4 linked regions of the Diceros bicornis minor genome follow. The protein of the gene in region 1 purifies or fractionates together with the protein of each later gene. This does not show direct contact. Links are inferred from orthologs where the notes say so. Each region holds a gene or a part of one and is shown in the gene's direction. Other genes may lie near its edges. The genes, in order: SOS1, PTPN11, FRS2 and CRKL.

What was found.
Region 2: the proteins of SOS1 (region 1) and PTPN11 purify together in Homo sapiens (affinity purification with western blotting; 4 studies listed by BioGRID and IntAct, with this or other methods). This does not show direct contact. The link is inferred for Diceros bicornis minor from reciprocal best matches to the Homo sapiens genes SOS1 and PTPN11.
Region 3: the proteins of SOS1 (region 1) and FRS2 purify together in Homo sapiens (affinity purification with western blotting; 5 studies listed by BioGRID). This does not show direct contact. The link is inferred for Diceros bicornis minor from reciprocal best matches to the Homo sapiens genes SOS1 and FRS2.
Region 4: the proteins of SOS1 (region 1) and CRKL purify together in Homo sapiens (affinity purification with mass spectrometry; 3 studies listed by BioGRID and IntAct, with this or other methods). This does not show direct contact. The link is inferred for Diceros bicornis minor from reciprocal best matches to the Homo sapiens genes SOS1 and CRKL.

The regions. Positions count from the first base shown.
Region 1 is NC_080751.1:45,264,657-45,271,965, forward strand, and holds the start of SOS1 (son of sevenless homolog 1), read left to right. Parts: upstream 1-4,287; 5' UTR 4,288-4,354; coding exon 4,355-4,441; intron 4,442-7,309.
Region 2 is NC_080774.1:10,559,255-10,566,173, forward strand, and holds the start of PTPN11 (tyrosine-protein phosphatase non-receptor type 11), read left to right. Parts: upstream 1-3,900; 5' UTR 3,901-4,046; coding exon 4,047-4,060; intron 4,061-6,919. UniProt on the Homo sapiens protein: Acts downstream of various receptor and cytoplasmic protein tyrosine kinases to participate in the signal transduction from the cell surface to the nucleus. Positively regulates MAPK signal transduction pathway. Dephosphorylates GAB1, ARHGAP35 and EGFR.
Region 3 is NC_080756.1:1,868,325-1,875,590, reverse strand, and holds the start of FRS2 (fibroblast growth factor receptor substrate 2), read left to right. Parts: upstream 1-4,258; 5' UTR 4,259-4,338; intron 4,339-4,605; exon of another isoform or gene 4,606-4,998; intron 4,999-7,266. UniProt on the Homo sapiens protein: Adapter protein that links activated FGR and NGF receptors to downstream signaling pathways.
Region 4 is NC_080774.1:30,944,077-30,951,508, forward strand, and holds the start of CRKL (crk-like protein), read left to right. Parts: upstream 1-4,425; 5' UTR 4,426-4,935; coding exon 4,936-5,246; intron 5,247-7,432. UniProt on the Homo sapiens protein: May mediate the transduction of intracellular signals.

The DNA.
Region 1 (7,309 bases):
TTTATATAATGTTATAAACCAGTGTTACCTCAAAAATTAAATTAAAAAATATTTTAAAAAAGAGGGAGAGGGAGGGAGGGAACCAAAGTATTAACTAAAGGTGCTAAAGGGTGCGTATCCAGTGGTTTTATCAGCCACTATTTTCTCTGGTGTATTTTCTGGGGACATCCTGTTTCGAGAAGTGGAATTGCAAGTAGGGATTGGGAAGAAAGGGTGAGGAGAAGCATGAAGGGAAGATAAGCTGCTGGAAGAGAGAGGACCTTGACTTTGCTAATGGCTGAAACTGCTGTTTCTTATGCCTGTTTAAGGGGAGGCATCCTGAATGGGGCCTGAGAAAGTCTTCAGAGAGAAGGTGACATTTGAGCTGGGGGCGACAGCGTGGATGCGAGTTCCACGGTGAGCGTGTACATGGGCGGTGAGGTGCAGCTGTGGCGGGTGGGATTGGACAAAAACGGTTATTGGCATTCCCGGCAGACGGAACAGCATATGTAGGCAACAAAGACGAATAGAAATGATGGGTTTATGGGAGGCAATAGTAGTTCATTTCCAGTGAGAGAGATATCTGGGAAGATAAGTAGTGGCCCTATTGTGTAAGGCCATGAATACCAAGCAAAGGACTTTGGACTTCATCTTGGGATGGCAGTGGAGGCTCTTGAACAGGAGAGTAACCGGATCTGAAGTTTGCTTCAGGGAGATGATTGTGGCGGCAGCGAAGGAGGCAACCCTGTGACTGCTGGGGGCGGCGGCGTGGGGAAAAGAGCGGAGTGCTGCGCTCCCACCTGCAGGGGGCGCGCCAACGGACCGAACGCCCTCCCCGCCCCCTTCCCTGCTGCCCGGGTTCTGACGCTACGCGCTCGGAACTCGGCTAGCCCGCCTGGACGTGCTCATCTCGGGCCTCGGCTAGTCCGCCTGGACGCGCCCCCCGTGCGTCACGTCCGCTCTGGCTCCAGGCTCCTTAGAGCTGAGTAGGGGCGCGAACAGAACCTCTGCGCCTGCGCCGCGGGGCAATAGTCGGCGGTTAACGCTGAGGGGCCCAGGGAGCTTTCCTGGCTTCCGTAGAACGTATCTGAGTCCGCCACAGTTGTCTTCTCTCGCTGCACGCTTGTAGGTGTTTTCATTTGTCCCAAGAGATATAGGCAAACGATGCAGAGGAGCTCGACTGCTCCCTGACCTTAGCGGCGCCGAGGTCAGCACCACTCCCCTTTGGTTGCTCAGCTCAGAAGCGCCGAGTCTCTTCTCTGCAATTTCCCTCCAGCTGCTTGCTCTCAGTCTGCGGCCAAAAAGTCCATACTAGTGAGAACCTGCCCCGGCTGCTAAGCGCGCCCAGCCCAGCGTGTAATCCATGTTTCTAGGGCTTGTTTACCTCTGCAGTCACATCAGAGACTCGAAGTTGAAGGGGACCTTGGAGGTCATCACGTCCAACCTCTTAACCCTTCCCGACATCCCGAGTGAGTGAATGTACGGTTTTTACTTGCACACCTCCGAAGATCGCCCGTTTCCCGAGACAACTCCGATTAGGTAGTCTTCCTGGAAGTTTCCTCCATCCAACTTTTATGTGTCCACTTTAGTTCATCATCATATCCCTAGGACCTACACTACTTGGCACACAGTAGGCGCTTGATAAATATTTTTGAAGGAATAAGATTGTTGATCTCTTGGAGTTTTCCATTCTACTGGGGGGCAACCAACAACTAAAAATAGTTAGAGGCCGTGATTTATGCGAGCAAGGAAATAAGCGGAGGCTTATGGTAGAAATACATAGGTGGGAACTACTTGGTGTGATCAGTGTGGCCTGTTGGAGGTGGTGACGTTTGTAACCAGCCAAGTGAACAGTTAGGAGCAGAGAGAGTTCCGGGCTGGGGGAAGATCAAAGCCCTCGAGGCAGGAAAGATGTTGGTGTTTTCTAGGAATAGACAGAAGGCCAGTGTGACTGCAGTGTGGTGAGCCAGGATTGAGAATGGTGAGAAAAGGTTGAGAATGTAAACAGGAGCCAGATGCAGGCTTGTGGGCCATGGTGAGTAGTTTGAAAGGTATTCTAAGAAGAATGGGAAGCCCAAGAAGGATTTGGGGCGGAAGCTTGATCTTAGTTCATTGGTTTAGAACCACACAAACCATATCATATATGGTTTTTCTATGTTACAGTCTTTTAGATATTTAGAGATGTCTGACATGTTTTCGTGAGACCCATTTTTCTGTCCCCAACTCCTCTCAAAGCTGTAGTTCCTCTACCTCTTCTTACCCAGAGGTAAGAAAAAAAATGGATAATTTTCAAAATGTCATTCTGAACACTTTGAAAGCATGGAGAATTTTTAAATGTAAATCATGTGTGTACATTTTTAAAGAAAAGGACCTAAGACTTATGAGATTCTCCAAGAGGTCTTGTAGAGATTACCACTGCTTAAACATTTCTCCTCTATGTGATCCTGTTTTTTTTGTTTTTTTTTTTGAGGAAGATCAGCCCTGAGCTAACATCTGTGCTAATCCTCCTCTTTTTGCTGAGGAAGACCTGCTCTGAGCTAACATCTATTGCCAATCCTGCTCCTTCCCTCCCTCCCCAAAGCCCCAGTAGATAGTTGTATGTCATAGTTGCACATCCTTCTAGTTGCTGTGTGTGGGACACGGCCTCAGCATGGCGGGAGAAGTGGTGCCTGGGTGCACGCGGGGGATCCGACTCTGGCGCTGCCGGTGGCGCACTTAACCGCTAAGCCAGGGGGCCCGCCGGGTATGTGATCCTGGTTATCATTCTCTGGAATAGCAGGGTACTATGTCAACTTCAATCCAGGCTCATCCTCTAAACTGTCTTCTCATCTGTGAAATGAAAACAATAGGATTGCTATGAGGATTAAATGAGATTATGTTCAAAAAGTGCTTAATGGTAAACCATGAGGAGCCGGCCACACATGACCACTCTTATAAACACCTGCATCCCTGGGATGGAGGAAGAGTTTAGATAATGCTCCTTTGGCATTCCACAAACATTCACTAAGTGCCTATTCTGTGTAGAACCCCTAGTGAAAAATATCTGCCTTCCAGCAGTTTATCTAGTTGAAAGAGCCAGGAGAGGTACAAAACATAATAAACCAAATGCTCTGAGAGGGGCATGAGTAAAGTGATCTGGGAACTGCAAGAGATCTCAATTTCCACTGGAAGTAGGTGGTTATTGGAGTTCATATTTGAAGTGGGTTTGAAAGATGAACATATTGAATCTAAAAAACACACAAAATCAATACTACACGTACACATTTTATTCTTGGTGATGTGGAAAGACAGATTGGAAACATTGCAATCACTTCCATTATCCGACAAATACTGAGCAGTAGGTTTCGTGAGAAAGGCACCTATCTTTTGTCCAGTCTGTTTACTATACATTGCATGCTCTGGGCAGTCCTTATCTTCATGTTCAGGAACAAAGTACACAAATACACACCCCTTTCCGAAACGAAAGGTCTAGGCACTCCAAGAGAGGGGTGGGATCTCTCGCGGCCCAACCACACAATGGGGGCCGCTTCCCCGTAGCTCTCACCCCGCCCCCCCCACGCCCCCCCATCTCGCAGGCCCCACTCAGGCAGGGTTCGACTTATCCGGGCCCTTTCGCTCCTCCCCTGCAGCCCCGGGGGGCGCAGCCACGGCCCGGCGGGGCGTCCTCCCTCACTCGCGCTTCCCTCCTCCTTCGCCGGGGAGCCGGAAAACCCGGAGCGAACCGGCCCTGCCCGGCGGCGCATGCTCAGTAGCGAGCAGGTTCAGTTCGCTAGTAGGAAGCTCGAGCGCTACACCGGCGTCGGCGGCGGCACCTTGGGGCAGGCAGATTCCCCAGCACCGACCTCGGGCCCGTCCTCTCCCCCGCCAGACCCCGGCCCCAGCTCCGCCCCGCCGCGCCCGGGGTCGCTCGCTCATCGGGGTTCCCGCGGCGCGGAGCGTGCGCCGCGGCCGGAGCGTCTCTCCACAAGCTCTTCCCCAGCCGCGGGCTCCGCCGCGGGGCCAGGCCGGGCCCGAGCGCGCAACCCCGGCAGCCGGGCGGGCGGCGGCCGCGGCGGAGGGCAGCCCGGGGCGGCGCCGGAGGGCCGGGGAGGGTTGGGGGGGCCCGGCCCCGGGGCGGTGGTGCGGGATGCCGCCGCCGCCGCCTCCGGGCTGCGTTCGCTCTCCGCGGCTGGTGCCCGTGTCGGGTGGCTGGCCGGGCGCGGGCCTCGCCCCGCAGCCCCCTCTCCAGGGCTAGCCCGGCCGCGCGGCGCCCCGAGGGGGCCGGGCCGTCCAGTGGGGCCGCGGCCCTGTTCCGCGCTGCGAGCTCGCCCTCTCGCGGCTCCCCGGCCCGGCCGCCGCCGCCCCTCTCCCCGCCCAGAGGCGCCCCGGGGGCACCATGCAGGCGCAGCAGCTGCCGTACGAGTTTTTCAGCGAGGAGAACGCGCCCAAGTGGCGGGGGCTGCTGGTGCCGGCGCTGAAAAAGGTGAGGAGCGCGCGGGAGCCCGCTTCCCCGCTGCAGCCCCTGCGAGGGCGCCGGGCCGGGCCGGGGCAGGGCTGGGGAGGCGGGGCGCGCGCGGGGCCGTCTTTCTTCTCGGTCTCGCCGCCTCCGCGAAAGGACGGCGCCCACTGAGCGGTTCCCCCGCACGCGCTGCCTCCCGGGGTTGACGTTCACCCGGTGTGGGGGAAGGCCGCAGGAGGCCGGGGAGAGTTTGTCCGGATAATCAACCCCTGAGAGTCCTGCTCCTGCTTCAGAGACGAGAGTTGGAGGAGCCTCAGTTTTCAGTGGAGGTCAAAGCAGGCCACTTTTCCGCCTTCTCGGTCTTACCCGGAGCTGCTGTCAGCCTCCGTTTTAGGTGTCCAGTCTGCTCGTTTTAGTGGGCTCGAGAATGCTCTGGCCATAATGCTTGCTCTAAGTAATTGCAGAGCTCGCCTGCCAGCAGGAACATGGCCTGCTCTGCTCGCCCTCGGTAATCACTCTTCATTCCTCTGAATTCCCTCGCTCCTCCGATTAACCGGGGTGGGTGCACATGCCGCTATTTTCTTTCTTTTCTTTTTGTGAGAGTCTGAGAATCTTGGTGCTGTCATTCGTTTTGTTGATTAGAATTTTCAACCTGGCTGTGTTCCTTCAAGTTTGCCACATTGTTACCTCAAGTTAAATACCTTGTGATCTGTATTTTTAAATGTTTTAGTATAATTAGGAAATGTTGCTACATTTTAAAAGCTTCTAAAGCAACATTGTGAGTTAATTCAGAAACTTGTGTGTTTGAATGAACATAAAAACAACCAGAGTATTTTTTGTTTCCCTTTTACCTTTTCTATAAATATAGGATTGCTTTACTCTTTTAATAGTGTTTCTACATCCCAATTTTTTGTTCCTCAAACAATGTTTCATGTTATCTGGTTAAAATATATTCTGCTGAGAGTTGAGATTATGGTGTACCTTTTGTTCTAAACATTTATACTTTTGAAAACTGTGTCTTAAATGGTGTCTGATATTTCTCAAAGGCCAGCAACTTTTACTTTCCATTTTGTCCTGTCCTCCCTGTCTCCCTCTTGGTATTTTACAGAGGAAAATATTTGGTTTGTTAGCAGAAACTGGTCATATATTTCAGATATAAGTTACTGACTTTTTTCCTCAGGTGTCTGACTAGTCACAAACGTCTCTGTGATATTGTTTTCTAGGAAAATCAAAGAGATGCCATATACTGTATATACTTTATTCATTAGTAATCCCGTCAGGCTTTCACGCTATTTAGTTTTGCTTTACCTGCAAACTTGACATCTTAGCTTGTAATAGAAGGGTAGTAGGAGGTCTCAGTGATGCTGGAAGCAGGTATCCTGACCTAGGTGGGGCCGCGGTGGGGAGGAGACAGAAAAATTGTTGAAAACATACAAAAGAACTCATAAAACACTACCAGTTTGGGGCTATTTTGTTTAGAAGCAAGCATATCCTATCCCAGAGTAAACACCAACGTACCCATCAGTTGAGGGTCCTATGAAGTAGTGGAAAGAGCGTTGTAGGAGTTGGCAGACCAGATGTAACTCTGCCACACGTAGACTGATAAATGCAGCAAGACTCAAGATGGCCCTTGCTGAAATCTATCCACAGAAGCATTTTGTTTGGCTGGCATGGTGTTGTTTTATTTTTAATGTAATTAGTTGCCGATATTTAAAAATGGGAGATATTACATAAAATCTGAATTTTCAGCTTTTCTTGAAGAATAGGAGGATCTCTCCACATTGGGCCTGCATTCAAGCAAGGCAGTAAACTGCTGGAGCTGAGGAAATGACTGTCCTCTTTAGACATGGCACATCTCTTCAATTTACACAGTCCCCACCAGTCCTCTGCTTATTTACATAACCCAGCTTTGACTTTAAGCAGAGATACCCTTGTATAACAGTAAAAGTGATGAGAGGAGGTGGAATCTAGCTGATATGTAAGGTTCTCCAAATTCTTATTTAAAATATCCACTAATGATAATTCTAAGCCACCTAAGACAAGGTTGAAAATATATTTCATATCTGGATGTGCTCTTGGTAGCTCAAAACCTGCATTTTTACCTGCCTGCTAGACATTTCATGTGGATATCTACTATCTTGAACTCTTCTTTTGGGCTTGCTGCAGTATTTGCAGATGTGCCCAACTTGTGTTATCTTACCTGAGGCTCTTTGGACATGCTCTTCTCTTCACCTGGATTGCCCTTAGCCTGGTCTAACACTTCTCACCCTTCTAGACTCGCTCGTCCTCAGATCTTTCCTCAAATCCTTGGGGCCGAGTTGGATAATCTTTTTAAATTTTCTTTTAGCACCCTAACCTAGTACTTAACAATGATTTTTAAGTTCCTATTTACTTGTCCTCCCCCCTCCCCAACTAGATTGAATGGTCCTTGAGAACAGGGATGATATTTTACCCTCCGTTGATACAGTGCCTGACACCTAGTAGGCACTTAAGTTTGAACGAATGGGTGAGGGAATACCCAACTAAAACCATCACCTCCCTGCCCTCCATCTTCTGTTTAAAAATTTCCCCTCTTGATTAATGGCTTTATTTTATTTGACTGGTTCAAAACTTTGGAGTCGTCTTGGACTTCTCTCTTTTGCATTACGGCCCACATCCAGGCACAGCCTGTAGATTTATTCCACTTTGACATGTTCTTCTAATCTATTCCCTCCTACTCCAACTGCTCTGAGTCCCCTTTCCCAGACTGCTGTGATAACCTCTTAACTGAGTTCACTGCCCCTCACCTCTCCTTTATCAATTTTTCAAATTTCAGAAGTTATAGTACACTTCTGAACACGTCACACTCTTGTTCAGAACCGTTGATGTCTTTTGAGGGCATAGGATGAAGTT
Region 2 (6,919 bases), on another chromosome or scaffold:
TTTGTTTTAAAAGGAGCTCATAATCTAAGGGAAGAGGCAGAACAGTCAATCAACAATGATGTTGAACCGTGTTGCCGACCAATAGAGGCATGAACAGGCAGCCCGCAAAGCATAGAGAGGAGGGCTCTATTTTATTCTCAGGAAGTGGTCAAGGGGTGTGTGCAGAGAATGTTTACTGCACAAGTTGATTGAGTTGGAGCTATATCTTGCTTGACACTTACTTTTCCATTTGGAGATGGGTTTAAAGTGCATTCCAGACAGAAGGAACTAAATTTTGGAATACAGGGATGCAAGAAACAGCTAGAGGCCTTTGGAAACTGCCAGATTATGTGAGGAAGTGGGGATAAATGAAGCTGAACAGGTAGACATGGTTCGTATTTAGAAGGGCCAGATGTGCTAATGGAAGGATTTTCATTTAGTGCTAAAGGCTTTGAACCTCCCTCATAGAACAGGAGAAGGACATGATTAGATTTGTATTCTAGAAAGATCATTCTAGCTGCAGAGTGTATAGACTATAGGAAAGACAGGGGAAGCAATGGTTTTGATACTGAACCTCTTAATCTCAAATTCATATGCCTGATGCACAGCAAGACAAACACTGACTGAGATATCGGGCTTGGAGATGGAGAAAGGCCCCATTTGAGTTGGCCAAGATGAGAAGGTGGGAGCACCGGTTTGCTCAAATCTGCCTTAATCAGAGCAAAAAGAGGGGAGTTTTTATAGAGCTAATGGGCTTGCCAGGAGGAGCTTTGGAGAAACAAACAGGTCACTCCAGATAAGCCCCAAGACAATCTGCAATGGCTGCTGGGGGCCGGCTGTCTGGAGATTGCAACCTCCCTGAAGGCATTCTCTTTCTTCTGCAAAACAAACTCACAAATCAGTCACTCCTCAAGTTAAACAAGAAAAGAGCAAATTGACAAAAATCATCTATGTCTGTGTTGGGAACAAGGTCAAAAGGCAATCATGTTCTTATTGAATAGCTACAGTAACCATCAGGTACGTGGCTTCAGTTTCTGTATTCAAAGAGCTTACAGCTTACTTTGGAAAAGAGACAAATGATAACCAGCATTTACCAAGTGCTTACTTTGCCAGGCATTGTTCTAAATACTTCACAATCATTAACCCTTTTATTCTTCACAACTTACCCTATGTTGTAGGTAGTATTTTCACCCCTCCATTTCACGGAGAAGGAAATTGAGACACAGAGGAGTCAAGTCACTTACCTGGGGACAACCAGGCAGGCAGGCTGAGTTTTGGAGATCAAGAACTTATCCCCCACATGATACTGTGTCTTAGATTTATAATGAAGTGTGTTCACTTCTAAGCCAGGATAGGTGTCTTGGGGACCATCTTAACCTAGACTGGGAGAATCAGGTAAGTCTTCCTATCCCAGAGGAGATGACTTCTAGTTTGAGATCTGCGTAGACTAGAGTTCATGGGGAGGGGGGGGTCACATAGTACTCTCTAGGGAGGGGGAGCAGATTGTTTAAAGACCCTGAGCTGGGAAAGGGCATGGCATATTGAGAACAACTGAAAGTCATTCAGCATGACTGGGTCATAGCGGTGGGGAGAGTGGGGTTGGTGAAGTGAGCAGGAACCAGATCAGGTGGTTGTTAAAAAGTTTTTTGACTTCATCCTAAAAGCAATGAGAAGCCATTGAAGTATATGCAATGTAGGGAGTGACTAGTTCCGCATTTTAGATTACCCTGGCTATTATGTGGAGAATGGATTGGAGAGGGCAAGCGTGCAGGCTAAAATCCTTTAGGATTTTCTTTGAGTCATCTAGGTGGCCGGGATTTAGGAGGAATGGAAGGAAACAGCCTGGGCAACTGTTCGTTGAATGCCTATTACCTAAATTAAATTGGCATATATTAAAGACAATTTTTGTAAGGATTTTTTTGTAACAAGGCTAAAGCAGTTAGCACACTGCATGTGAGTTCTTCATATAGAAGTGTCAATGCAAATAATCCATAATCAATCTATAAATCAAAATTGGGGTGAGTTTATTATGAGCCAGATTTGAGGACCACATAGCCCGGGGCCTTCCTTCCCCAAGGAAGGAAGGGCACCAAAGAAGTGGGGTGTACGGAGCAGTTATACACGGTCAAAGAGCATGTATCACATATGATTGCGATGTCCCTTTACAATAATCACAAGATTGTCCTGTTGGCACAGCGATTGATGGACACAGCAGGCATCAGGTCTGCTGTCTTGATGGGCACAGCAGGTACCAGGTCTGTTGTCTCAAGTTGGGTGGTCACAAGATGAGGACAGCAATCAAATCCTAGCCTAGGGAGAAAAGCTTATCCTTAAGGAAATACCAATGTGGGGGAAGTTACATCCTTATCTTAAGGGCATTTGTTCTTGTCTTCGGGACGTGGTAAATGCTTAAAGCAGATATACAATGCATGTTCAAAAGCCACATCAGGCCTTTTTGGAAAAACAAGGTCAGGCCAAATTAGTTTTACACCAAATGGCTTCCTCATATACTCCAATATGTCCTATTGCTTGCCATTTATTTATCAGAAGTGAGCTGGAGAGCACTGGGAGGAAAAAATGAGGGTTTTGGAGCCACATAGATGTAGGTTCCAATTCTGACTCTGCCACTTACTAGATCTGTGACCTTTAATGAGTCACATGGGCCTTCATCAAGTAAAAACTCTACCTTCTCATTCTGGGTGGAGCCACCATCATCTCCAGCCTGGAATATTACAGAATTCTAGTATTCCAAACTGGTCTGTTTCCAGCCTTGCCCTCTTGATCTGATTCCTTAGAGAATATCTAAAATAATAATTTTAAAACATAGATTATAGTCCTCCTCTGCTGAAAATCTTTCAATGGCTTTCCATTTTACTGTTCATTTAAATAGCCTATAGGACTCTATACTATCTCTACCCCTTTCTCACCTCATCTCCTGCTACTCTCCCTTCACCCCTCCCACTTTCTACTGTGCTTTAGCTAGAGATCCCTTCATTGTTCTTCAAATAGTACAGGAGGCAGCCTCCTGCCTCAGGGCCTTTGCACTTCTCTCTCCCTGTGCTTGAAATGCTATTCCCTCGAGTTATTCCCATAGATTGCTCCAGCGTCAGTTCTTTACTCAAACGTCATCCTCAGTGAAGCCTTCCCTAACTACCCTAATGAAAACGATAATATAAAGGGCTATGGAGAAAAGACAAGAAAGGAGGGTACGAGTATTATCTTGAGTATTTTACTTATCTTGATTACTGTAGCTCCTCCCTCGAGAACACAGGCACGGGATTTTTGTCTTTTCTGTTCATATCCCCATAATCTAAAACAGTGCTTAGCAGATAGCAAACAATCAACAGATGTTTAATTGTAATGAAAAGACAGCGAACAATTACAAAGCACTTACTAAACAGGCCAGGCCTAGTTCTAAGAATTTTACATATTTAATTCCCACAATCCTACGAAGAAAATACAATTACTATCTTTATTTTACAGAAATGAAGGAATGGATGAAACTGAGGCTCAGAGAAATTAGGCAACTTTCCCAAGGTTACACAGCCAGGAAGCAGAGCGGCGATGTGTGGAATGAAATGAATGAAATTCGGTTTGGCAGTCGGGGATGGAAACTGACACGGCGGAAGCGGAGGCATGGGTTCCCGGGAGCGCGTACAGCACTGAGCGCGCGGCGCACGCCCTGCGGCCAAGGTCTAAAGGAGGACGTCGAGGTGCTTTGGGAACTGCGCGGCGGCGGCCCCACCGAGCCACCGGACTGCCATCACCAGCCGCCGCTCAGTCCCCGGCGGACTGGAAGCAGGAAGTGGCGGCGGGCGTCGCACGGGGTGACGTCAGAGTGGCGCCGGCGGCGAGGGGCGGGGGAGGAGGAGGAGCGAACGGGACTCGGGGGGCGGCTGCACAGTCTCCGGGATCCCCAGGCCTGGAGGGGGGTCTGCGCGCGGCCGGCTGGCTCTGCCCCCCGTCCGGTCCCGAGCGGGCCTCCCTCGGGCCAGCCCGATGTGACCGGGCCCAGCGGAGCCTGAGCAAGGAGCGGGTCCGTCGCGGAGCCGGAGGGCGGGAGGAACATGACATCGCGGAGGTGAGGAGCCCCGAGGGGCCCGGCGCGGCCTCGGCCCGGCCCCCGCCGCCTGCGGTCAGCCCCGCCCGGGAGGGGGCGCCCCGGCCGGGCTTCGGCCCGCGCCTGGGGTCAGCGGGCGGGCCCCTCCCGACGTCCGCGCCCTCCCGGGGCCGGGGGCCTGCGCCCGCCGCGCCCCCACCCCTCGGGTTCCCATTCATTTCCTGCCTCCCCGAGTTCCGGCTCCCGCAGCCCGGGGGATGCCCGGCAGGACGGGGCCAGGTAGAGCCGCCGCGGGAACGGCGGGCGCCAGCGGCCCGGCTCGGCGCCGCATTCCTGACCCATTGCCTCATGAGAATTGCCTCATGGTGATTCCGAAATAACCCCACTCGCTTGGGGAGGCTCCTCGGCCCGGGACGCGGGAGGGAAGAGGAGGGAGTGGCGCGGGGCCCGGCCCCGGCGGTCGGGCTGCTCGGCGTCGCTCTGCTGGTCGCGCGCTTTTGGGGGCTTCGCTCAGCATCCCTGGCCCCTTTATGTGCCTCTTTGCATCTCCTTCCCCCCACCCCTCACGTGCCAGAAATGGAAAAACTGACTGTATCTGCAGCTATTAGAAGTATTTCCTTCCTCTGCACTGTTCGCTTTGAGAGATGGGAGGGAAGGGAGCTGTATCTCTGGTTATTGAATCCTTCACCACAACCTTAAAAGTCAGGTAACATTAATCACCCCCGATTTACGGATGTGGAAACTGAGGCTCAGCAATAACATGCTAGTAAATGACAGGACTTGACTCTGAGTCATAAGGAGGATTAGCGAATTAATGAGATCTTTTGCAAGTGCAGGGTAATAATACCACTAATAGCCAACACTGATTTAGCTCTCACAGTAAGCCAAACACATTTAATCCTCACAATAACCGTTTGAGGTAGGTACTAACGTCTCCGTTCTAAAGATGCATAAACTGAGTTTCAGAAGTTAGGCAACTTGCCTAAGATCACTCAGCCAATAAGTGGTGGGGCCAGAATCCCCGCTGTTAATCACCATATTGCTATTATTCTTTTATAACTATTGCTAATCATTTGTAGGCCTTAATTTTGTTGTTCAACGGTAGCGTGACGTATTGTTTTCCGATAATGATCCTGCTGTTTTGTGTCCTACTCTTTATATAAGATTCACACATAAGACCCATTGTTTAATCTTTTCCTTAATTGTCCTGTGACGGTCACTATATTAGACATTTGAAAAACTATTTCAAGCTATTGGGGTTATTTGAATGAGAGACTTTTCAAAATGTTAGGTATGTCTTCTCAGGATATACCTGCACGTTATTCATTCGTGAAACTGGAATGAAAAGAGGGAGAAAAAAGAAAACTGAAAACTCTTAGGACGTGAGTGACTTGGACAGGTCTGTTGGCAAGTGCTTACAGATCTGGGTAATATATAACTGCATTTCAGCAGAACAGTGTATAGCCTCAAATGTTCTAATTCTTTAGGGAGTTTTTAAATAAAACAGTTGTCTATTCTTTAATCTGTCAAATAGTCATTGAGCCTTTTGTTCCTTGTGTCTGCTCTTCCAGACAAGTAAGGATCTGCTTCTTTAGGAGACAGAAAGGCTGGGGGCTGGGTAGGGAAGGGACTGGGTGGTAAGAGACCCTGCATTGTCCAGCTTGTTAGTGTATAGGCCGGGAAGTGTGGGTATAGCCAAGGCAGCAAGTGGTAAAGATGACAGTTTGAAATAGAGTAATTCTTCCTCCTCTCCAGCCCTGGTGTTTCTTACTCACCTATTACAGAAGAGAAATGTGTGCTACCTGAAAAGTCAGATTATGCACATAACACACATAATTGGGAATTATTTATTATTATTTTTCAGATCGTAGGTCTGTGTTATTATTTTTTTAACCAGCTTTATTGAGGTATAAATGACATGCCATAAGTTGCATATGTTTAGGTGTGTAATTTGATAAGTTTTGACATATGTATACACTCATGAAACTGTCACCACAATCAAGATAATGAACATATCCATCACGGCTTGTGATGTGTCCTTGGGCCTTTATAATCCCTGCCTTGTTGTCAGGCAGCCACTGTTCTGCTTTCTGTCACTGTATGTTAGTTTGCATTTCTTAGAATTTTATATAAATGGAATTTTGTGTCTGGCTTCTTATGCTCAGCGTAATTATGTTGAGATTCATTCATGTTGTAGTGTGTGTCAAATAGTTCATTACTTTTTATCGCTTAGTAATATTCCATTGTATGGATGTACCGCAGTTTATCCATCCACCTGTTCATGGACATTTGGATTGTTTCTAGAGTTTGGCTATTACAAATAAAGCTGCTCTGAACATTTGTGTACAAATATTTGTATGGACAAACACTTTCTTTTCTTTTCGGTAAACACCTATCAGTGGTATGGCTGGATCATATATTAGATGTATATTTAACTTTTTCAGAAATTGCCAAACTGTTTTCCAAAGTGGTTATACCATTTGCATTCCCACCAGCAGCATATGAGAGTTACAGTTTCTCTACATCTTTGTCAACACTTGGTATGGTCAGTTTTTAAATTTTAGCTATTTTACTGCATATGTCATGGTATCTCATTATAGTTTTAATTTGTATTTTCTCTGGTGACTAATAATGTTGATCATTTTTTCATGTGTTTATTTGCCATCTGTATATCTTCTTTGGTGACATGTCTATTTGATCAAATATTTTCCTCCTTTTTAATGTAGTTGTTTGTTTTCTTGTTATTGAGATTTGAGAGTTCTTTCTTGTGGATACAAGACCTTTATCAGAATTGCAAATATTTTCTCTTAGTCTGTGGCTTGTGTTTTCACTTTTTTAACCATCTCTTTTGAAGAAAAGAGGCTTTTCATTTTGATCAAA
Region 3 (7,266 bases), on another chromosome or scaffold:
CTGCACTTGCGAGGCTTGTTTAGAAATGATACATGGTATCTCACAATTTTCTACCCCAGAAAAACGATTTAAAATTAGCTTGAAATACATTGGAATAAATAGTTATGAGCACATGTAAAATCTATAAGGCAAAATTCTATACTTGTTTCTCCAAAACACCCACATGGTCCCCTACCCTAGGGGATCCAGGCTTGGTGCTGCCATGGAGAGTCCACACGTGAGTGAGGCCAGCTCCCCCTGAAGCAGAAGCTGCATCGCAGCCGAGACGCTGACGCCCGGGGGAGGCACGCCCACTCTGCCAGCGTCTAACTTTGCAAGAAGTGCCAGAAATTGGGATTTTTTCACATGACATTTCCCAATTTTAAAATTTTGGCTCAGTTTATTTCTTGGTACGAACCTCTGTGGGTCAAACAACACATTGGAGGGCCATTTGTCAAATCTCTGCCAATTACACTAGCACAGAAAGAGGAGTACACTGTGCTGGTTTTCAAATCAGCAAATGCTTTTCAAGCACCTGGGCCAAGGCAGGAGTAAAAGGTGAGGAAGACGAAATATGACAAAGTCCTCACGAAGCTCACAAGTCTAGTGGGGAGGTGGGCAATGATGTCACAGAAGAAAGTGGAAAATGCCATGGCAGAGTGTGGGACCCAGGACCCAAGCCTGGTGGTTTAAGTATTGGATCAGGGCCACGTTAAAACAAACAAAAACAAAGAACCCCATTATTGGAGAGCTTGGGAAATGGTGGACACCCAAGTAGATGGCTCTTTTGTTTAACAAAACACCTTAAGGGATTTTTGGGGTGGGAGCTATGCATAGACAGGGCCTCAGCCTTGCACACTTCCAGGCGGACCTCTCCTGTTGTGGCCGGTGCAATGGGCACCTCCTGGACCACCATTCAGGTTGTATCCTTTGTGAACGTTGCCCCCTGGAACTGTGCAACCTGCGATTCTGTTAACAAAGATAGGCCTGGAGTCAGGCCTGAGAGGAGGATTGAGAGCTAAATCCTTCTACATAATAAAGTCAGAGGAATTGAACTCTTCGCCCAGTGGGTGGAGGCAGGAGGGTGGAGGGGCGCCTGTAATAGGGAGAAGGGAAGGGTTTGGAGGAAAGATCTCTAGGATGAGGATGCGCCAGCAGTTTGGCAACAACCTGGAGCCTATGAACCCGGTGAGAGATTCCCTGTAACTTTTAAAAGAAACCCATAAAATCCTCTGTCATCTTCTTTAACCTACAGAAGACACTGACAAATGAAGTCAAACAACTTTTTTTCCCGGCATCAAGTATAGCCTTTGAACCTCTTCTGTATGAATCAGGAGATAACCAGGAAAGATTCAATGCTCAGGCTCACATAGCAACACTCGGCTGAACATAAAATACTACAATAACTTGCCTTTTTACTATTTTAATTCAAAAAGCTCAAAGCACTTACACTTTTATTTCCTCATTTGTTCCAACATTCCAGCGTGGGAGGGGCAGATTTATAATAACATTATTTATAGACGGAGAAACAGAAACAGAGATTAAATCGCTGACTCAGTGTTGCACAGTTGGGGTGGTAGGGCCCACTCTGGAATTGGGTTCTCCAGCTCCTGCCACGAAGTGGAGAGATTGTGAGTTTTGGAATTAGAAAGATCTTTGTTTGACCCTGATTTCTGCCCCTGAATAAGAATGTGGCCTTAAATCAATTATTTCACCTAAGTCTCAGTTTTTCTCTTCTGTAAAATTAAGACCATAAAACCTCATAGTAGTGTAATGAAGATTAACGTAGAAAATGCATGAAAGTCCTGGCACAGAGCGGTTCCCAAATAAGATTAGTTCCACCCCCAACCCAGAATTATCTTGTTAAATTTCAACACAAAGTAATCAAAAAAGAATCCTCCATTAATACTAAGTTTTTTCTAGCCTTATCTCCCACTGAGAGCAAAACATGAGTAAAGATGCTTCAGTCTGTCATTTAGTTCAATGGGAAGAACTCTGCTTCAGTAGAGTGATTCCTGTTGGGGATAATTCGAGAGAAAGAAGACTCTGGGAGGCGAGAGTAGAGGCAGTGGTTCTCACACGAGCATGACTGAGTCACCCGGAAGGCCTGTTAAAGCAGAGTTTCTGATTCACAGGTGTGCAGTGGGGCCTAATAATTTGCATTTGTGACAAGTTCACAGATGACGTTAACTCTGCTGGTCCAGGGACTACATGTCAGAGAAGCACGAGAGTGGTTTAGTGAAATTCTGGGGGTGGGCCCAGCCATCTGTGTTTGACCAAGACCTCCAGGTGATTCTGCTGACTCTCAGGTCTGAGAACTACGGGCACAGCGGTGAAAAGCATCCGAGGAGACAGACCCACATTCAGATCCTGGCTGCACCATCTACCAGTTAGATAACCAGTTTTAGTGACAAACTTCTAGCACTTCTGCGTCCCGCAGGGAGCCTGACAACATCTGCCATTCACGGTTCCTCTCATTATCCCTCCGAGCCCGTGGTGGAAAGAGAAGTTAGTGAGTCTTGCCGACCCAGGCTCTGTTTTTTACCTCTTCACACTCTGAGGCACGAAAGGCTGCTTAAATTGGGGTATTAGGGAAGTATTTACAAACACTTCTGTAATCACAAAAATAAACAAGACAGTGCTGTAAATAAAGCCAATAGCAAAGGCATTGTTTACGTCTTAAAAGCGTAATAAAGCATTCTGAATTATTTCCATTTCCCCTGCCTTTCTTAGCAGAAAATTTAAAAACCTTCCTCCCCTACAGTTTTAAGAGATGCTTGTAAATTTGTTTTGCAGATAGTATGAGTGCTAAGAGGCTCCCCCAACCCCCGCAACTCCCACCCCCAGTAGCTGGCCTCAGTTACAGAATCTGCCTCAGTCGTTCAGTGCCTTCTTGGTTTTGTGGCTGAGAAATTCCTTTTTCTTTTTTCTCCTCCTTTCCCTGCCTCTGACAGGGATCTGTCAGACTCTGTGGGCCCTCATACTGTCTCAGCTCACAGAGTCACAAGTATCCAGGCTGGCCCTACGACATTCTTTTTTCCCATTGCAAAAATGTCTACTCTTTCCTTATTTCCTTAGCTAACCTTTCTATTGCTCTTGCTGGCCCACCTTACCATCTGCTAGAGTGACTCCACTGGAGGAGAAATAGTTTCCTATTGTTGATGAGGTATGAGAACTGGTGACTTTTACCCAGTGCTGCGTTGGTACTAGGTATACTGGAGGCTCATCATGCATTTTCATTTTGAATTCCTACAATGATACACAGATGATTATATATGTACCTGTACACACACACACATTCATCAAATATACTACAAATGAGGAATCTGAGGCTTAGAGGTCAAGCAACTTGCCTAGGGTGAAAAAGTAAATGTAAATACAGGATCCAGACAATAAAATTCCAGAGCCCCCAGCTCTTGGCCTCTGCTGAAATTCCAAGTGATGATAGAATACATACAGGAGTATAATTTGGTTCCTGCCCTTCAAAAATTTAAGACTCTTGTTAGGGGTAGATGAGATTTATACACACGACACGAGTTAAAATAAAATCGGGAGCCGACCTTTGTGGTGGCATTGGGCTTGGTACCTTTGACAGGTTTCCTTCTCCCAAGATGTAGAGACCAGGCCAATGTCAGAGGATTTGGGACGGTTCCTTATACAGCGCCTACCCGTAGGAAGCGCTCAGTAAATGTAACTCATGATTCTTAGAGCAGGTGGACTGGAGCGGAGGGACACTGGAGTCAGGAGGCCGGGGTACGCGCAGGGCCCCGCACCTCAATTCTCTGAGCCTGGGTTTCCTCGTCTGTCAAATCAGGCGGCCGGGTAGATGGGACAGGCCCAGGGGCAGGGGCGGGGCCGCCGCGGCCGGGGGCGGGGCCTCGGGGTTGACGGGCAGCCGGGGGCGGGGCCGCGGGACAGCCGGGGGCGGGGGGACTCGGGGCAGCCTGGGGCGGGGCCGCGGGGTTTGACGAGCAGCCGGGGGCGGGGCCGCGGGGCAGTCGGGGGCGGGGACTCGGGGTAGCCGGGGGCGGGGCCGCGGGAGTGTCAACGAGCAGTCGGGGGCGGGGCCTCCGGGCAGCCTGGGGCGGGGCCGCGGGGGTGTCGGCGAGCAGTCGGGGGCTGGGCCGCGGGCGCCGCGCGGAGAGGCCCCGCCCCCGGGAGGCCCTGTCAGCCCCAGCCCGCGAGCAGTTCCGGTGCCAAACCCTCCCTGCCCCGCGCCCCCGGAAGTGCTTTTCCAAGGTTCGGGCCGGAGAGGCCTTGCGGGCACAGCGGGGGAGGCTGGATCGGCTCCGAGCGGGGTTCCTGCCGGGTCGGAGCCCGGGGGCCCGCGCGCGCCCGCCCTCCGCGCCCGGGCCGACGGTGAGTGGCCGGGGAGCCGACTGCGCCGGCCGGGGCCGCGTCGGGCGGGCGCCCTGGGGCCCCGCTGCCCCTCCGGGCTGCGGGCTCGGCTGTCGGGTTCGGGCAGGAAGGGGCGCGGGCCGCCGCGGTCGTCGCGGACCCGGGGCGGGAGGAGCCGGCGGCGGGCCGCGGGTGGGCGGGGCGGGCCGGGGAGGGGGCTCCGGGCGCCTTGTGGCTGTGGGACTCGGGGTGGGTGGCTGGGCCTCCGTCCCTCCGACCCCTCTTCTGCGCCCGGGTCCTCGCGCCGCCTCCGGGGTCTGGTGTCTGGGTTGCCCTGGGCTGGGCGCCGGAACAGCGGACTCTGCCCGGGCCCAGGTCCGGCTTTCGCGCGCCGCGCGCTGTCGGGGGCTCGGGGCTGAGCCGGGGTCCCGGGGTCGCCGCTCAGCCCGGGGCGGGGCGATGCGGGGAGGAGGCCGGGATCTTCGGCAGGCTCTTCGTCCATACTCGCTTCGGGGTTGCCCGGGATCGGTTTGGACTGCGCTGGGGGCCGGTTCTGGATACGTGGGTCGCTGTGGCACCAGCGTGCCTCCTGCTGTCTTTACTCCTTGGGAAGCTCGCTCAAGCTGTTGTTGAAGTCGCTTCTTAAGAAAACAACTTGCTAGAGGAAAATCAGTAGTTCAGGTAGGTTCCCTTATTTTCTTGCAGATTTAAAAGAATGATGCTGTTCTGTAATCTGCTAATCTCCAAATTCCTGTGGCTCTCTGAGGTCATGCTGGTTTGATGAGTTCAATCTGCGGTTGTTGCACGAATGGGTTGTAGATTGTTGGAGAATTATACTCTCTGTGCCCTGAAGTTTGTATACTTTCATAGTTAGATCTGTCATTTTCCTTAACTTTTAAAGAAACATTGTTCTCGGTAACCCCTAAGAGGCCCCGTGTACTGTTACAGCTGTTGCTGCAATGCAGAGGTTCACATAGGTGGGCAGAGGTGTTTTGTTTTATGTTGTTGTTGTTGTTTTAACTTATGAAGTGTTTACCTTGGGTAAATTGAACATTTCCTAGTGGAAAAAGTGGCGTGTAGTTATTTTTAGTGAACAGATTTTAGGTAATAAACTGCTCCTGAAAGGTTTGTAGAAATGAGAGTTTTCCGCTTTTAATAGTGATTTTTTGTGGGGAAGATCAGCCCTGAGCTAACATCCATGCCAATCCTCCTCTTTTTTTGCTGAGGAAGACTGGTCCTGGGCTAACATCCGTGCCCATCTTCCTCCACTTTTTTTTTTCTTATATGGGACACCGCCACAGCATGGCTTGACAAGTGGTGCGTCCATGCGCGCTTGGGATCCGAACCCCAGGCCGCCAATGGCGGAGCGCGAGCACTTAACTGCTACCCCTCCGGGCCGGTCCAAATAGTGATTTTTAGGATCCTAAGGGAATGCAGTCCCTGCAGGTGGTGACTCTGGGCAGGTGACCATTGTTTTCGCGTGTATAAAGTACACACAATCACCGTTGTGAAACCAGTGACATGTTCCTGCACTTCTCATCTGGTGCTTATATTAGGATTCATACTGTAGTTTTTTGAGTACTTATCTCATTCTCTCTCCTCCCACCACTGGAAGGGGAGGTAATACGGTGAATTAGGGAAAATAGACTGAAGTGACAAGTTCAGTGAGCTGCCTATGCAAAAGAACATTTATTTCAGGGTTGTTGATCTTCAGCAGGCAAAGGGTGGATGATTTTTAAAGTCTCTGGAAAAAGTTGTGGAGGAAGATTAGTTGCCCAACTTTTAGATTTAGGAAGAAAATTTAGATTCTTAGCTGTTTGAAGTGCTTCATTGTTTAGAGCATAAGGTTGGAATATTGGAATTTAGAGAATCTGGAAAAGGAGTCAAGTTAGATATGGTTATAGATCCATTACTGAAAGTATGGTGTAACAGTGGTTTTGAAGGAAAACATTTCAAGAATTGTAAGAACAGAAAAGGTACTTGGGGAAAATCGGATATGCTTGGGCATTGTATATTTTATTATGTTCATGTCAATTCAACAGATATTGGACATTTGCTTTCTTCGGCATCAAGCTACGTTAGGCAACCATGTAGGAGCGTATAAAGATACAGCCATAGCATGTTTTGGCAGTAATTTTCTAAGTTGTGTCAGAAATCATGAAGAGGTGAATTGTATTTAAGCATATTAAAATTTTTTTCTAATTGGAAGGTGGTGTGTGCTTCATGAAAAGCACTGTTAGGCATTAGGGGATACAAAGATTAAGTCTTTGGTCTTTAGAAATTTGAAATCTAGAAGGGGATGTAAGATGTTTACATAAAAATTTACAACATAAATATATGTAAATACTTAATATGTGAAGGTTTGACCTAAAGTTTGGAGTTGTAGGAAAGGAAAGTGGGTTTATTTTTAGCTGGAGTGATCATGGAAAGTGGTGGAGGTATAGTAATCCATATGAAGGTGGCTCTGAAGCTATTATTTATTGAGCACCTAGCACTACGCTCTATGCTAGTTGCTTTGCATACATTTTCTAAGCTTCACAACAACATATAAGCGTCTTAATAATGAGGACACTGATGCTCAAATATGTTAAGTAGCTTGCCCGGACTATGTAGCTAGCCGGTAACTGAGCCCCAATTTGAATCCAGATCTGCCTGGTACCAAAGTCTGTGCATTTCCACTACATCATGCTACCTCCCAATAAACTGGTAACCTGCATTCAGCATTGCAGAGGGTAAGACTTTTCTAAGACAAAAATTTGCGCGTTGGGAGTAGGTGGATGAAGGTTTTTCAAATAAAGGAAATGATGTGTGCACCAGTGTGGAGGTGGGAAAGTTCACTGTGTACTCAGAGAAAAGTTAGTGGACCAGATTACCTAGACTATAGGTGCATTTGGGGAATAAGAGATGAGGTTTGAAAGGTAAGTTGGGGCTGGATCGTGGAACATGTTT
Region 4 (7,432 bases), on another chromosome or scaffold:
AAATAGTTTGGTATGGAAAATTATAATGGGGATACGAACATTATTAGTATTAGAGTAGCAAAGTAATAGGAGGGAAAAAAGAAAATTATCAGGGGCAGGAAGAAGGGTCAGACGCTTGTTCTGGTGTCCTCAGTAAGGCAGCAATCTACAACGATTGCCTGGCTTTAACCATCACCTGAAGGGTTGGACCTGCTTAGACAGGGGAGAACAAAAAGTCAGCAGTGGGTCCCGGTTGTGTTTTCTGTACAGAGCTAGCCTCAGGGCTAGGAAGTAAGGAATCCGGACAAGTTGCTCAAAAAGCCTGTCAGTCCTTTGAGTCTAGCTTGTAAATATCTTAGAAGATGAGTAAGTATAATGCCATCTGGAAACCCTGGGAATGAGCAAGCTAAGACAGAATCACAAATCTTTATGTTACAGCCCTTTTTTAAATGCTTCCTTGTTGCTTCTCCATTCATTTCCATTTTGTTCTCTCTTAACATCTAAGAACATTTTTTGGAATTTTTTTTAAAGCTTGTCTCAGCTGTGCTAAGGAAGAATAAATGAAAGTACTTAAAATAACTTTTTATTGTGAGGGGCCAGCCCAGTGGCATAGTGGTTAAGTTCCCATACTCCGCTTTGGCAGCCCAGGGTTCACAGGTTCAGATCCCGGGCACAGACCTATGCAGCACTCATCAAGCCATGCTGTGGTGGCATCCCATATACAAAACAGAGGAAGATGGGCACAGATGTTAGCTCAGGGCCAATTTTCCTCAGCAAAAAAATAAAATAAAAATAAAAAAGAAATAGAGACTCGTTTAAAAAAAATTAAAAAAAATTTTATTGTGAAAAATTCCAAACATATACAAAAGTAGAATAATATAATATAATTAACCCCACACACATACACATCATGTCACCCAGCTTCAACAATTATCAACACAAGGCCATTCTTGTTTCATCTTTATCTAATCCATACCCTATTCCCTACTGGACTATTTTGAAGCAAAAGGAGAGGTATTTTGATTCTTTTTTTTTTTTTTTGTGAGGAAGATCAGCCCTGAGCTAACATCCATGCCAATCCTCCTCTTTTTGCTGAGGAAGACCGGCTCTGAGCTAACATCCATGCTGATCTTCTTCCACTTTATACGGGACGCTGCCACAGCATGGCCTGACAAGTGGTGCGTGCCAGGGATACGAACCCAGGCCGCCAGCAGCGGAGCGCAAGCACTTAACCACTATGCCATGGGGCCGGCCCCTTGATTCATTTTTAAGAGGAATTTTTAAAGAGGGGAGCATGGCCCTTTGGCAGCAGAATGGTGGTGGTATCTGAAACCCAAGCTAGGGGACAAATCCAACCGCTTCTCCCTGTTCCAAGATTGATATTCCTTTCTGGTGCTAGAATTTACTTTGGAGGGCCTCATTTTCACTATCAGCAAAACAAAGAAAATTGACTAAATTATAGGCAGTTGTGTAACAGTGAAATGAGACCTTGACTTCAAGTCAAAAGACCTGGCTTAAGAGTGCCAGCTCTGCCTCTTGCAAATTATATAACTTACAATAACTTATATAAGCAAGTCACTTAACCTCTCTGAGCTTCTGGATCCTCTGTTACAGGGTATTTCATGGGACTTTGGTTAGATTAAGCAAAACAATGTATTATGTGAAGTTCTGTGAATTGAAAAGCACTTATAAATCACATATCACGGAGTTCTTCAGTTAAGTAAAAGATGACTGAGATTTGAGTCTGCCAATTAGGAAAACAGTGATGCTACTGACAGAAAAGGGGGAGCTGAAAGGCAAAATTTAATCCAAATGGAAGATTTTTTTTTTTTTGTGAGGAAGATCAGCCCTGAGCTAATATCCGTGCCAATCCTCCTCTTTTTTTGTGAGGAAGACTGGCCCTGTGCTAACATCTAGTGCCAATCCTCCTCCTTTTTTTTTTTCCCCTTTTTCTCCCCGAAGCCCCAGTAGATAGTTGTATGTCATAGGTGCACATCCTTCTAGTTGCTGGGACGCGGCCTCAGCATGGCCAGACAAGCGGTGTGTTAGTGCTAGCCCAGGATCCGAACCCAGGCTGCCAGCAGCGGAGCACTCGCACTTAACCATTAAGCCACGAGGCTGGCCCCTCCAAATGGGAGATTTAAACAGAGAGTGATATGGGGCTAAACCTTAGGTCCAAATATCTACTTTGAATACATTTATTATGTTAATAAAAGGGGAAAAAAATCACATAGTCTCCTTACCTTCACTAAAATAAATTTTTAGTTTTCTCTGGTTTCTTCCCATCGTTATCCACCTACATTCAAAAACCATTTACTAGGTGTATATTATGTGATAGGCACTGGGAATACAAAAAATAATACTACAGTCTGCCTCCAAGATGCTCAGATTAGGAAAGGAGAGACACATAAAGAATTACAATAGCATGTGATAAAAATTAATTTAGGTGTTTGCATAGGGTGTGGTCAGTTTTTGTTCTACTTTTAGAATATATGTGTTTTGAAGTCACCAACAAAGGGATGACCCCTAAAGCCTTCATGAAGATTGGCCTACCAAAGGAGAAGCTACCAAAAGAGAGAGGTTGAGGACTGAGTTTCTACACTTTGAGGCTGGACAAAAGAGCCACAGAAAGAGACTGAGAAAGTGTATTTGGAGAGGTAGAAGAAATTACGTTAGTGTCCCAGGAGCTTAAAAGAAGAAAAAACAAAAACAAAAGTAGTCTTTCTGGAAAGAGATTTTCAACATAAACGCGTAGAGCCAGGTAGATCAAGGAAAATGATGGGATCAATGGAGATCAGTGATGATCTCCAAAGGCAAGTTTCAGGCAAAGTAAGGGTAGAAACCAAATGAAGAAGGCTGGGCAAGGAGTGGGTGATGATGAAGTGGTAAAATCTGGCAGTGAAAAGTAGCTAGCAAATCAAATGGGAATTATTCTCCCCACCCTCATCCACTCATTTTAAGATCTCCGTGTTTGTAGGCAATGGAGGTAGAAGCCAAGAAAGAGGCTAAATAACAATAATAAAAAACTCTTATATGATGCTTAATATGTGCCAGGCACTATTCTAAGTACTTTACATTTATTAGCTTGTTTAATAATATATGAGGCATGGATGGATGATTAAGTAACTGGCCCAAGGCCACTCAGCTAGTCAACTGATTAAGCCAGGAGTGGAACCCAAGCCATCATTTTCAAATTCTGTGCTAATCAAACCTGAGACTAATACAACATGAAAGTATTTGGAGAGAAGATGAAAACCTGTAATGCTGAATCACAAAAGGCAGTAGACCTTGACATTTCCCCTTTAGTTTACCCAAAGATGGACATCACCTATCACCCTACAATCTAGGATATGTTCAATCTGGGGAGGAGGGAGGGTGCAAACGGCCAGAATGCAATTCCACTGACAGAGGGATCTAAGCGTGGGTTTGTACTGCCTGCATCTCCCTTTTTGGACATACTTTCTTGTCTGTGCAGTTACTTTCTTGTCTGTCCAGTTTCGGGGGTGGTGCTACCAATAATCCAGCACCAGTTGCCTGAGGTTTTCTTCAGTAGTCATTCATTCAACAAATATTTGAGCATCAAGTCAGGGCCAGACATTTTGCTAGGCCCAGAGGTGAACAAGATAGACAAGATTCCCGCTCTCTTAAAATTTACATTCCAGTGGGGAGGACAGGGGTGGGCTGGTAGACAGGCTAGAGGGCACTGCTGGAGCGGGGTAAACAAGGGGGAATGGAGGGAGGTTAACTCGGAGCAGCAGGCAGAATCCGGAGCAGGCGAGGCCTTCAAGCCACGCCCCAGAGGCGTTTGCATTTTATTTGCAGTAATTCAGCGCCAGTGATGGCTAGATTACCCCAGGCTGTAGACTTCCTAAACCACTTAATCCTGCCAATACAACCTTCACACCCTATACTTGTGCCTGTCGGGTCACCTGGCCACTCTGGGTCCCTTAGCCTACCAGGCCACCTCGGGCCCATCTGCCGGTCACCTAAGCCCCCGCGGTCTCCTTCCTGAGCCACCTCGGCCCATCGGGGCCTGTCCTCCCGTCGGTCTCCGTTAGCGCGGGTCCCCTTGGGCCCCTCGGCCGGCCAGGTCACCTCAGTGCCACGCCTCCCAGGCCGCAGATTAGGCCTGCACGTTACGCTTTGTTCCCAGAGCAGGTTTTCGAAAAGCCGCTCCCTCTCGAGTCCAGCTGTTTTCCTGCCAGCTCAAAGAGACCCGGCAGCTGCAGCGCCCCCGGCGGCACACCGCCGTCCAGGAAGGGAGTGCCCGCCTCCGCGACCTCCGCCTCCGCCTCCTCCCGGAACGCGGGAGCGGGCGAGAGCCGCGCACGCCCGGACGGTCACCACCGCGCTCCTGATTGGCTGCGCTGCTTGACGTCACGGGGAGGGCCCCGGCGGCAGCTGGGAGCCGGGGGCTGCGCGTGCGCAGACGGAGCGTGCTGAGCAGAGGGGGAGGTGGCCGGGTGCTTCTCCCGCGTCCGCCATTTTGTTGCTGTGGCTGTTGGGAACGGGCTGGGCAAAACCGCCCCGGAGGCGCGACGCTCCCTGGAGTTTAGTGCTTGGAGTGGCGGCGGAGGTCGGTGCAGAGCCGTAGGGGCGCGAGGCCGGCGCGTTCCAGGCCAGAAGTGACTGGAGCGCACCCCTGGTACGCTGGGCAGCCCGAGACCCCGGGGCGGCCTCCGCTGCGGCTCGGCTTCGCCCGCCCCGACCCCGGGCTCTGCCCCGCATTCCCCGAGCCGGCTCCCTCCTTGAGGCGACCCCGGAGCAGGCGGGCGGCGGCGGCGGGGGATGCTGCGGGCCCGGAGCCGAGAGGAAGGTGCTGGCTCGGCCTTGTAAGCGCGCCTCGAGGTGTGTCGAGGCCCTTCTTCGGCCCCAAAGCCGTCTGTCGGGCAGAGGCGACCAGAGCAGGCGAGAGCAGCCGCGCCCCGACCCGCCGCAGGGCCCCGTTCCGACACCATGTCCTCCGCCAGGTTCGACTCCTCAGACCGCTCCGCCTGGTACATGGGGCCGGTGTCGCGCCAAGAGGCACAGACCCGGCTCCAAGGTCAGCGCCACGGCGTGTTCCTGGTCCGCGACTCCTCCACCTGCCCCGGGGACTATGTGCTGTCCGTGTCCGAGAACTCGCGGGTCTCCCACTACATCATCAACTCGCTGCCCAACCGCCGTTTTAAGATCGGGGACCAGGAGTTTGACCACTTGCCCGCCCTGCTGGAGTTCTACAAGATCCATTACCTGGACACCACCACCCTCATCGAGCCCGCGCCCAGGTAGGCGCGCAGCCCACCCCGACCGCGGAGGAGGGTCGAGAAGGGCCGGGTTGGTTCGCTTGGGGTCGATCGAAGAGGGGGCGGGGGGTGTGACTGAACCTATTTGTCCCCATTCTGAACCAAATTATTTTCCAGAAGGCATTCCGAACGGAAGGCTACTGTCAGGATCTGGGTCACTGGGTGAGGGGATGCGTTTTAAACGTGCTTAACGGCGATTGCATAGTTAAAATGTACGCTTTTTGTTTTTCGTCGCGTTCTTTATTTGGTTATCATAATAAAGCAGGGTGGTGGTGGTGGTGTTTTTGGGCTATAGACTTTGAGAATCTGAAGATAGCCGTGGCATCCCTCTCCTCCAAAAATGCACGTACGCACAAGTGTGCACAGCATTCAAGGTTCTTGGACTCCCTGCAGATGTGTGCACTCCAGGTTACTGCAGATCAAGAACCCTTGGACTGCAGCCTTTGAAATAGTCGACAAATGAAAATGCTTTAGCGTTTAAAAACAGAAACCTTTAACTGAAATTTCAACTATATATTGATATCTTGATGCCAAGTTTGAAATAAGCCAGACACCTGTTTTATAATGTATTAATTACAAAATTTTAAAAGAAGGTGCATTGGCTTCAGCGGGAACATTTTTTTGAATTTTTATTTTATAGTTTCCTGCCAAGATGGACCATTAATAGGCTAGAAATTAATTTGGTTAAATTCCAAGGAGGAATAAGGCTAAGATGTTACTTACTAAGGGAAATTTTTGAATGACAGTTATCTTAATTCTATTCTCTTTTGTAAGTAAAATGCATTTTTTATTTGATTATTTGCTTTAATTTGTCTTAATCAGTATTCTGTCAGAGGTTTCTTTTATTTAAATTGTGCCAAATTTGAGCTGAAGAAATTGCCTAGAATTTTAAAAATAAAAAGTATTTCTTTGCCTAATTTGTTTCTTAAGCATCTATTTAAATGGAGAGGATGCTAATAAAGATGTTTCAGAATGAGATGTTTCTGACTTTATAGATTTTGCTGACAAGATATCTCTGAACTTTAAACATTGAAAGCTATCATAATTAATTATGGAGCGTCCACTGGATGCCTAAGTGTTGCTTCTGTGGAATAGATATAGAGAGGAAACAAAACCATGGTATTATAATGACTGTACTAGATTAACTACTGAACTAAATGGACTTTAAAAAATGGGAGAAAGTGATTATAAATCAAATACTGTATAACAAAGATGTAGACCCCAGGAATCTGATTGGTGAAACCTCCAGGTCCCCAAAGATGCTGGTAATTGGAGTCAACTTTGAGCACAATATAATTCCAATATAAGGGGTTGGGGAGAATCTTAGAACCCACTGTAATGAGATTTTTAATGTGTTTAAGTAAATTACTTTACTAACTTGCGGTGGTGAATGATGTCATTAATTTCAGGCATTTATTAAGCCATGTTATGTGCAGGGTATTGTGCTTTCTTTGAGGTGACAGGTACTGTAATACAGCTGTCTCAACAAGTATGAGTAAATGGCTTGATCCCCTTCTAGAAGGAGAAAAAGGGAGATGCTGCACTGGCTTCCCAGTACCCACAAGAACGAATCCAAATTTTCCATACACTGGTCTTCCCAGGTAGCAGGCGGAACTTTCTGTCTTTGATGCGTGTCCTCGCTCCCTCTCATCCTTCCTTTACTGCAGCCTCACGAAGGCCACTCACTCAGTCCCTGGTAGCCATCCCTACACACCTCCTCACAGCTTTGTACCTTTGCTCAGGCTGTTGGCTCTTCATTGACAGCGTTAACTCCACTCCACTCCTGACCAGTGAAATCCTACCTGTTGTTCCAGGCCCCTCACAAATAATAGGACCTTTCTCTGACCCTCCCCCTCACATTCAGCTGTAATTGTTTCTCCTTCTCTGTGCCTTACGCCTGAGGCCTGTGGCTGTAATTTACTTTTTAATTTTCCCTGATATCTTGGAGGGTGATCACAATGCTGGTTGAATTAGATCCTGACTTGATTTGCTTTGTTATACTGCGTCTTTGGGTTGCATCTGAATTAATGGATTTGGAGTTCATGGATTTGAATTTCAGGAAAGCCTGAGATTCATGGATTTGGTTTGAAATGTTTTTAGCCTTTGTAGAAAACTAGAGGCTAGTAAAGCCTTGGCCAAATGCAAAAATCAATATAATGCTTCTTCAC